3 linked regions of the Ovis aries genome follow. The protein of the gene in region 1 purifies or fractionates together with the protein of each later gene. This does not show direct contact. Links are inferred from orthologs where the notes say so. Each region holds a gene or a part of one and is shown on either strand. Other genes may lie near its edges. The genes, in order: TDRD3, FMR1 and FXR1.

What was found.
Region 2: the proteins of TDRD3 (region 1) and FMR1 purify together in Homo sapiens (affinity purification with mass spectrometry; 4 studies listed by BioGRID and IntAct, with this or other methods). This does not show direct contact. The link is inferred for Ovis aries from reciprocal best matches to the Homo sapiens genes TDRD3 and FMR1.
Region 3: the proteins of TDRD3 (region 1) and FXR1 purify together in Homo sapiens (affinity purification with mass spectrometry; 3 studies listed by BioGRID and IntAct, with this or other methods). This does not show direct contact. The link is inferred for Ovis aries from reciprocal best matches to the Homo sapiens genes TDRD3 and FXR1.

Annotation. Positions count from the first base shown.
Region 1 is NC_056063.1:1,957,223-1,960,882, reverse strand, and holds part of TDRD3 (tudor domain-containing protein 3), read left to right. Parts: intron 1-748; coding exon 749-1,599; intron 1,600-3,660. UniProt on the Homo sapiens protein: Scaffolding protein that specifically recognizes and binds dimethylarginine-containing proteins. Plays a role in the regulation of translation of target mRNAs by binding Arg/Gly-rich motifs (GAR) in dimethylarginine-containing proteins.
Region 2 is NC_056080.1:87,704,815-87,708,474, forward strand, and holds part of FMR1 (fragile X messenger ribonucleoprotein 1), read right to left. Parts: intron 2,034-3,660; coding exon 1,838-2,033; intron 1,125-1,837; coding exon of another isoform or gene 940-1,124; exon of another isoform or gene 299-939; coding exon 116-298; intron 1-115.
Region 3 is NC_056054.1:206,880,294-206,882,604, reverse strand, and holds the end of FXR1 (RNA-binding protein FXR1), read left to right. Parts: intron 1-630; coding exon 631-801; 3' UTR 802-1,686; downstream 1,687-2,311. UniProt on the Homo sapiens protein: mRNA-binding protein that acts as a regulator of mRNAs translation and/or stability, and which is required for various processes, such as neurogenesis, muscle development and spermatogenesis.

The sequences.
Region 1 (3,660 bases):
TAACCATCAGATTATCTGTGAGGTATATGTATATATGCCATGTTACTGATTTGATTTTTGGTTGGACATTTTCTGTGCTATTTTGCTTAATCAGATTTTGACACTTTTGCCCCTGTATTTCCAAGTAGTACCTGTTCTTTGATAGGTTTATGTTATTATTCACTCAGTTGTGTCTGCCTCTTTGCATCACGTGGACTGTAGCACACCAGGCTTCCCTGTCCTTCACCAGGGAAAGTTTATAAATAGATATCTAATTGTAATCCAAATACTTAGCAATTCCAGATCCAGAAAGAACTGAGAAATTTTTGTTTTTTTTTTTGCTAAGACTAGAACTTGACTGACAGTGATTGATACATTTAAAATGAGGTGGGGACTCAGAAAAGAACTGAGCTAGAGGTATACTTGTACAGTTTCATAGCAGTTTCTGTGGTTTAAGTTTGTAGTTCTGTTTCACCAGTCTTGGGAAATGAATTACCAGAGCAGCATGTATAGATAGCCATAACAATGCAAATATTCAGTAACAAAGACAACTTGCTTTTGAATATCCACCATTTTTTCATGGTTCATATCATTGCTTTACTTCACTAATGTGGCTAACCAGGCAAACTGTACATTAGAAACATAAGAGTCTAACCAAGCAAAGAGAGATTAAGATAATGAGGTGGGAAGATGTTAAATGAGTAGTTTGATAATTAAGTATTAATGCAGTCTTCATTTTAATATGCATATGATTACTTTTACTTTTCAGAACCTAAATCACAGCCGCAGCAGCTTCATCAAGGACAAAACAGAATGTCAAATACTGAGCAAAATGGAGTAAAAGATAATAATCAACCACGATATCTTCCTCGAAATGATACCAGACAGCCAAGAAATGAAAAACCTCCTCGTTTTCAAAGAGACACCCAAAATTCAAAGGCAGTTTTAGAAGGCAGTGGATTACCTAGAAACAGAGGTTCTGAAAGACCAAGTACTTCTTCAGGATCTGAAGTATGGGCTGAAGAGAGAATCAAATGTGATAGATCATATTCTAGATACGATAGAACTAAAGATACTTCTTACCTTTTAAGTTCCCCACACAGTGATGCTGTATTTACAAAAAGGGATAACTGTATGCAAAGCCGATCAGGAAAAGGTCCATCCTATGCAGAGGCAAAAGAAAATCCTTTTCCTCAAGAATCCATAGATTATAATAATCACAAACGTGGGAAAAGAGAAAACCAAACAGCAAATTCGGATCATTTTTATGACAGGAAGCCACGAACAGTAAATAATGAAGCTTTTAGTGGTGTAAAAATTGAAAAACATTTTAATATGAATACTGAACACCAGAATCCTGTCCGAACGAATAGTTTCATTGGTGTTCCAAATGGAGAGACAGAAATGCCACTGAAGGGAAGGCGAGTGGGACCTATTAAGCCAGCAGGACCCATCACGGCTTCATCCTATGATGATAAAATATTTTACAGTAGTGGTCCCAAAAGAAGATCTGGGCCAATTAAACCCGAAAAAGTACTAGAATCATCTATTCCTATGGAGTATGCAAAACTGTGGAAATCTGGAGATGAATGTTTAGCACTTTATTGGGAAGACAACAAGGTATGCATGCTGTAAAGTTATTAAATACTAATATTACTGAATGTAACAGTCTAGTGAGACCGTAGAACACCATGGCTTTGGGACAGGGTTTCAGTCTCTGGTTGTACTTGTTTATAGTCTTTGAACAGATGTATGCATATGTAACTTATCAAAGGAAGAGCAAAATATTTAATATTTTTTATGGATGCTTAGGAGTTCCATAACTTGGTTGTTAGGTTTGATTTTCACTTGCATATCAGAAAAGTATTGTAAAAGTGAATAAATGAGGTTGACAAGTTACTTTAGTTATCATCTACTGAGCTTAATATTTACTTTTATTTATTTTACTTAATAAAATGAATAATTTAATAAAATAAATAATTTTATTTATTTTACTTAATATTTGCTTTTCTTTCTAATAAAATTGTACTGATTCATAAGGAAGCAAATCAGTTGAATGGCACACAGTTAAGTTCTGCAGATGTCATTTAACTTAAAGATAATATACATAATTAACCTACTTTAAAAACATTATGAGGAGGAAGGTTAATTATTTAGCTAACAATAAATAATTTAAGAGTTATTAAACCAATAATTTAAACAGCCTTGTGTTCTACATTATATACTGGCTAAAAGGAAAAGTGGGGGTGGGGAATGGAAATGGAAAGATACAAGATGAGATTGAGAAGGAATACAGTGAATCAGATAAAAGAGCCTGAAAAAGGAAGAAGACCGACACAGTGAGAACAGGAAAGGAAGAGGCCAGAGGGCCCCCAGACAGGAGGGACTTTGTTTGTGTCTCCATTTCTGCCCAGCATGCTCCTCCACTAACTGCTCTTCTGATCCTTGAAGACTTGGCTCAGAGACTTCCTAGAGGAAGCCTTTTTTGTCTGCACCCTCCTCCTTTCTACATTATTGTCTGTCTCAATCAGTGCCTTGTTCACTTTCTAAAGCTTATCACAGTTTGTAAGTATTTTTGTTTTTGGTTCCTATATTGATAACTGTTTCCCCTGCCATGATTTTAAGTCCCTTGAAGACAAGACCATATCTCTCTAGTTTTTCTCTATTGCCCTCTTCCTCTCACAGTCCCAGGAGGCACTTGCATAGGAAAAAAACTTGAGTGGTTAGGGCACTGGAGATATTGTTGTTGTTCAGTCACCCAGTCATGTCCCACTCTTTGCGACCCCATGGACTGTAGCCCTCCAGACCCCCTGTCCCACACCGTCTCCTGAAGTTTGCCCCACTTCATGTCCATTGCATCGGTGATGCCATCCAGCCATCTCGTCCTCTGACAGCCTCTAACCTTTCTGTCCTCAATCTTTCCCAGCATCAGGGACTCTTCCAATGAGTCAGCTGGAGATATTAGCAAGGTAATAAAAACCAGAGGTAGTCGTACTAGGAAAACTATTGTGAAGGACCTAGGTGAATGTGAAGATCAAGTGAAAAATATATTTGTAACAAATATTTTATGTATAGAGTACTTTCAGTTGAGATGGCTGTGCCCATATGTGTGACTGGAAGGAATAGTGGAGATAATGTTACCTGAAGATTTCAAGGAATGAAATTTAGGCTAGGAAGTGTGGTAGGATGTTTTAAGAGATGCTGTATGGCTTAGGATCAGGAAACAGGCCCCATTGTGTTCAATGAATGATGAGGAATAAAGAGGGTGTTCAGTTCAGTACAGTTCAGTCACTCAGTCGTGTTCGACTCTTTGCGACACCATGAATCGCAGCATGCCAGGCCTCCCTGTCCATCACCAACTCCCAGAGTTCACTCAGACTCACGTCCATCGAGTCAGTGATGCCATCCAGCCATCTCATCCTTGGTCGTCCCCTTCTCCTCCTGCCCCCAATCCTTCCCAGCATCAGGGTCTTTTCCAATGAGCCAACTCTTCGTATGAGGTAGCCAAAGTACTGGAGTTTCAGCTTTAGCATCATTCCTTCCAAAGAAATCCCAGGGCTGATCTCCTTCACAATGGACTGGTTGGATCTCCTTGCAGTCCAAGGGACTCTCAAGAGTCTTCTCCAACACCACAGTTAAAACGCATCAATTCTGCGGCGCTCAGCTTTCTTCACAGTCCAA
Region 2 (3,660 bases), on another chromosome or scaffold:
AAAATGGAAGAAATGGGGGCTTGATAGTATGTCATTGAATCACCTAGCTTTTTCATAGAACTTCAGACAGTTGTTACAATTCAGCTTCATTTCTTAAACGAAAAACCCTCTGTACCTTTGAAGCTGCCTCCACGTCCTCTTCCTCCTTGTCCTCTTCCTCCGCCGCCACGCCGCCGCCCGTCTCCTCTGCGCAGGAAGTTCTCCCTCTCTTCCTCTGTTGGAGCTAATGACCAATCACTGAGTTCATCTCTGTGGTCAGATTCTGTTTCAGAAGCATTTGATGCTTCAGAATTAGTTCCTATCGAGAGTTAAAAGTTATATACCATTGTCCGACTTAAAAAAACGTTAGGTTAACAGAAACTTCCAGAGACGTTTCTGGGGGTAATCCATTACACTTCCCAATTTATAAGCCCACCAAAGAGTATATATCACCTTCCATTTTGTAAAACAAATTATCTTAAGTTAAAATGAAGGTTTTCACGATATTTGAGGTCAATTTTGTTTCAAACATTTTTGGTTCTCATTTTAAAAAAAAAAGGAATTCTATTAGCCATCTAAGTTCAAACCTGAGTATGCCACATCATTTAACAGCTGTGCTCCTTTAAACATCTGTGCTCTCTGGAGGAAAAGTTGCCTACAACAATTAAATGCAATACCTTGATAAACAAAACTTCTAGAAAGAGAGTTCCTTTTAACAAGGTTTGGCCAGGGACAAAGGGGAATGCACACATTTTGGTCATCTTAGAGAGGGTGGCAAAGGTGGCCATCGTGGCTACTATCTCAGGGAATGGTCTCTTGTGAGATCAGGGATTGGACCTCGTTGAATGGGGATATGCTTGTCTGATGCTTGGTCCACAACCTTCCCTCCCACTCCCGCAGGAATAACTGATTATTAGAAAGGATTTACTGTAGTCAACTTATTATGCCTGAGGGGGTGGGTTAATAACACAGGGGATGGGAGATGGGAAAATAACTTCTTGGTGAGGGGGAACCTTCCACAGCATCAAGAACAGACTGTTGGGAAAGGGATGAGGGCTCAGGTTCAAGGTTGGCCTTAGGAGTAGGTAGCTCTCTCCCCCACTCCAGAACAGCAACTCTACTACCTCTCTCTTCCTCTGTTGGAGCTAATGAGCAATTATAGCTTCACCATTATAGCTTCATTCCTGTGGATCTTGAAGGCTTTTCCATCTTACAGAGTTCCTTTTTGAAACGCAAATATTTGTGAGATGGATTATACCTTATACCATCATTAGCAAGTTACATAGTAGATACACAGTTGAGCAAGACAGTAGGCACGGGCAGTGGGATAGCGTTCAGTGAAAGGTACTGGGAGAGAAGAAAGAAGCACTGAGAGAAGAGCTGGGGAGGCAAAGAGAGACTTCGCCTACTTCTTGACTTTGCCTAGGGCTGACTTTGGCCATGCCACTCAAAATCACCTTATGAGCCACAGGATGCAGACCCCTGATTTACACAGTCCATCCAGCAAGTATGACCAGCACATGCCTGACGAAACATGAGCCACAGTACACAAATGAAAAAACTTTTGGCTATATAGTAATAAAATAAGGAAAGGCCTTAGGAAAGGCATTAGCATACAAGGGCTTAAGCAGATTTATCCCCAGTCAGACTGTGGACAGAACTCACACCTGCCCTGTGAACTCTATGGGTTATTATCAGGTTTTTCACTCTATGTGTCTTGCAACACAATTTGACCCACTGTGAACTGGAAACCATGTAGTGAGAAATTGTTATAATGGGGTTCTAATGAATATTAGAGATTAGCAGCTATTAAGTCTAGGAACAGATAAAGTTACTGAGTAAAATGCTTAGTTTGTACCTGAAGTATATCCAGGACCGCGTCTGCCGTGCCCCCTATTTCTGTAAGGTCTACTACCTCGACCCAGTCCTTGACCATCATCAGTCACATAGCCTTTTTCCTTATCTGTACGATTTGGTGGTGGTCTAGAACTAGCTCCAATCTGTCGCAACTGCTCATCAATTTGTAATCTCTCCAAACGCAACTGGTCTACTTCCTATTTAAAATATACAAGATAACAGTAAAAATAATTTGACATTTTACTTAATAAAACCTTTCTCCTTTTCATCAGATAAAAAGTATACTGGAAATATTTCAATTTCAGCTCTAAGTTTATAGTAAACACTGTTACACAGAATTATCAGGAAATTGAATGGTCTCCTTAAAAAGAAAATTACTACAGATAACATATTATTGATGTCCAGAATTAAGAGACAGAACAAAAATACTCAGCATTAAAATTATACTGAAAGAATTTAAAGTTATTTAATTTGGCAATATTATCCAATAGATCTGCTAAGGCACAAATATGGTAGTTTTGGGACTTCTTGATAATAGGTTATTGAATAAAACAACTCTAAAATGTATGAATACAGATAAATGACATTTAAGACTTAACCAGCTAAGCTTAAAAATCACACATTGTAAATAACCTTAATTAATGAAACACTGAATTTGGGCCATCTTCTACTTTCAAAGAACAGGAACTATCTAACAGTTAACCCAAAAAATTGGATATCATGCCTTGAAAACCTCTTAAAGACTACAACTCTGCTAAGACAAGTATGATGAACAGTATAAAATCAATTGACCAAAATATACACCTGGGGTCCACTAACAGACCCTCACACACAATGCTTCCAATATGCTAGGTTCTGTCAAAACCAGATGATGTCTCAGTTCTAACCCTTCTCCTTCCAATCTATTCATAAACATCGATTTACTAGCTGCAGGGAACTGGGTCCACAACTAGAGTAGTGGTTGGGTGTCTCAGTCAAGCAGAGGCAATCATAGGGACTGTCCACATGAACAGTCACTGGGGAAGCCCCTGTAAAGCTAAGTTCTTAAAATCTTAGTACAGCAGTTTCAGGAAAAGGGCAGGTAAGGATCTAGACGAGTGTCATCTGTGCTTTGAACCAGACATTGTTTTACAAAGGACTTAATTAAAGGAGAGACTGCCGCTGAGTGGCTTACTCCAAAAGTACAGTCATAGCTCATGGAATGGGTGGATCTTGCAAAACAGAATGGTAGTCCAGGTTATCCCATGGGGGCAAAGCAGTCACCACTCGGTGAGAGATGCAAAGCCCACTCAAGGGAAGATCTGGTGATGGGAAGCATGGCAACAGGACAGCTGCTAATAATCCAAAAAGATATTCAATGTGAAATATAAAGCAAAAGATCTAAAGAAGAACACTGGTTAAAAGAACAAGGGACTGATGCAATGCAACCTTAAATTTCCAGGTCTTCCACATTATTTAAGCTAAGAATAGGAAGAAAAACACATACAACAGATTACACATAAGACACACTTTAAAACAAAAGTGAATAAGCAAATCAATGGGGTATCCTACCCACATAAACCTTGCTGGATGAAACCTCTCCATTTTCAATTATTAATTGACCACCATAAGAAGGATAAGAAGTGCCTAGCTACTATGTGTTTCTTCCTTATTTACATGTAACTATAAATTGCTTCATTTTATTTAAGAAGTCAGCAGAAAAATTCTTAACAGGATAGCCTCATAAATACAATAGAAAGTTGGATTACTTTAAAAATAACATTTACTACCTGTTACAGTATGTTTTTGATACATGTGGATACAAAAGATGGAATTATAAAAGTG
Region 3 (2,311 bases), on another chromosome or scaffold:
CCCAACTAGACCAGAAATATTTTGGTTAAAGACTACTCTTGATTTTGTTTTTGGCCCCAGGTAACTGAAGATATGCATGCTTGAGCCTGAAATATTTTTCAGTTAGAACTAGAAATAGTATTTATAAAAGATATTGGGCATAGAGACTGTTAACCTTAATTTGGGGAGCAATAGGCTGAATAGACCCTCTTCAAGTGGTGGATAAAGACCTTTGTTTGAATTCTTTGAAATATTTTAAGGGATTTGATACGTAAATTTGAGTTTCCAAAAAAGGTGAGTAAATAGGTGGTTGTTTGCCTTACTTAGGGTATTAACTGTTTATGTCTTTTTGTATGGTGAGTTTTCCAGTGGTTAAAATGAAATTAGGTGCAAGTTTTCAATAAACAGGTACAGATTCTTCCTGTGGCTTATATACTGCTAGCTACTAGAGATAAAGAGTTGAAAGACCCAGAGAGGTGGAATACATTGGGTTTTTTTTTTTTTTTAATTTTAAGAATGTTTTAATTCAGATCATTGTGGTATGTGAAACTAAAATTATTTATTAGCTAATTGATGTTTATGTAGTTATTTTCCTCCTCAGTTATAGATTTTATTTATAAAGAAGTTGAAAAAGTTGTCTCCCTTTGGCAGGCAAAAGATGTGATTGAAGAGCATGGTCCTTCAGAAAAGGCAATAAATGGCCCAACTAGTGCTTCTGGCGATGAAATTTCTAAGCTACAGCGTACTCCAGGAGAAGAAAAGATTAATACCTTAAAAGAAGAAAATACTCAAGATGCAGCAGTCCTGAATGGTGTTTCATAAACTGAAGAAGTTCCTAGTTTACAGTTCTTTACATTACATTTTACAATAGTGCTTGTACAAGCTTGCCAAAGATAGAATATGGATCGCCAGTCTTTCCATCGCACTTTCAGTTCCTCCATTTGGAATTCAGAAAGGGGAGGGATCCTGAAGAAATCATATGTTAAACATACTTTGACACCTACTGTGTTATATATCATCAGATGTGCCTTGAGAATAGTATATGTAACATTAAAAAAAGTTGCTGGCTATAGGAAATGTTATTTTGTTTTCAAAATATGGCAGAGATGGGGGGGAGGTGGGTGGGGTGGGATCCCTAAGCTAATATTCTTTATGAAAGCATTAGCTGCTTTTGTTACATTTTTAATAATATGCAACCACTTCTTCACCTGAGGAAAACTAGAATGAAATGCAGTCTAAGATATTTTGCACTGAATTGTAATTTCTTCATTAGTTTTAGTCTGGAAACTGGTCTGTTTTAATGTGTTTTTAAAATGCTGTATTGTAGAGGAAAATCTGCAGACCACTGGAATACATTTGTTAAACACTCATCTGCAGGGACACTGGGTGTTATTGGCAGTGACTGTTCTACATTGAGGCTTTGTTTGGTTTATTTATTAAAGTGTACAGTATTTAAAAAATCAAACATAGCTTTAGTTAAAACACTAAGCTGAATTAGTCGTGTCCATTCAGACATAACCTGAACTACTGAAAAGATCAATTTCCAGAAGGTTTATTCTGTATAAACTACATGTTAGTCTTCAGTAGAGTATCTTTTCTTTTTCCTCCCTTTTTTCTTTTTCTTTTTTTTTTTTTCTTTTTGGTTTTGATTGTTTGATGTGCAATATGTTTTTGTATGCAGGTAGTAAATAAACTTTTGATCTTCCATTTGCTGATTTTTAACTTTCTACTTTTTAAACCAACTGTTGAAAAGTAGTTGGACCTACCTAAAGGCCTAGAGTAGTATTCTGATTGCTTTTTAAGATGCATTTATACTTGTCCATAAATAGTATTAAAATATTAGTTGGTCATTTTGTAATGAATCCTCTGAAGTCTTAGTACTTAAAAATTTAGTATGTTAGAATAGAATGGTTTAGGGAATTGGTCTCAGAGATTTGATATTAGGAAAGTCTTTGTAACAAAATTCTAGTCATAGGCAACTTTTGGAAGGCATTCGGGTAAAATCCAGAATTTTACTTTTGCCTTTGAGTCTTCGTTATTTTTATAAAGTATAATGAACAGTTTTTAAATAAGGAATGTCACTGATTTTTGGTTTTCAAGGTAATAATTTTAAAGGTTCTCATATTAATGATTGGATTTTTTGTAAATATTTTGTCCAGATGGCATAATGTTAGGACTATACAAACTTTTACACAAAGTAAAAGTTTGCAAGCTGATAATAATTGTGAATTTGTGGGAGGGTTTTGCTCCACAATATTATATAAAGACTACTGAGCAAGAAGAGGGAGCCCTTTTTGTTCACTTGGGATCTGAGAAGTATTTTTATGTGCAT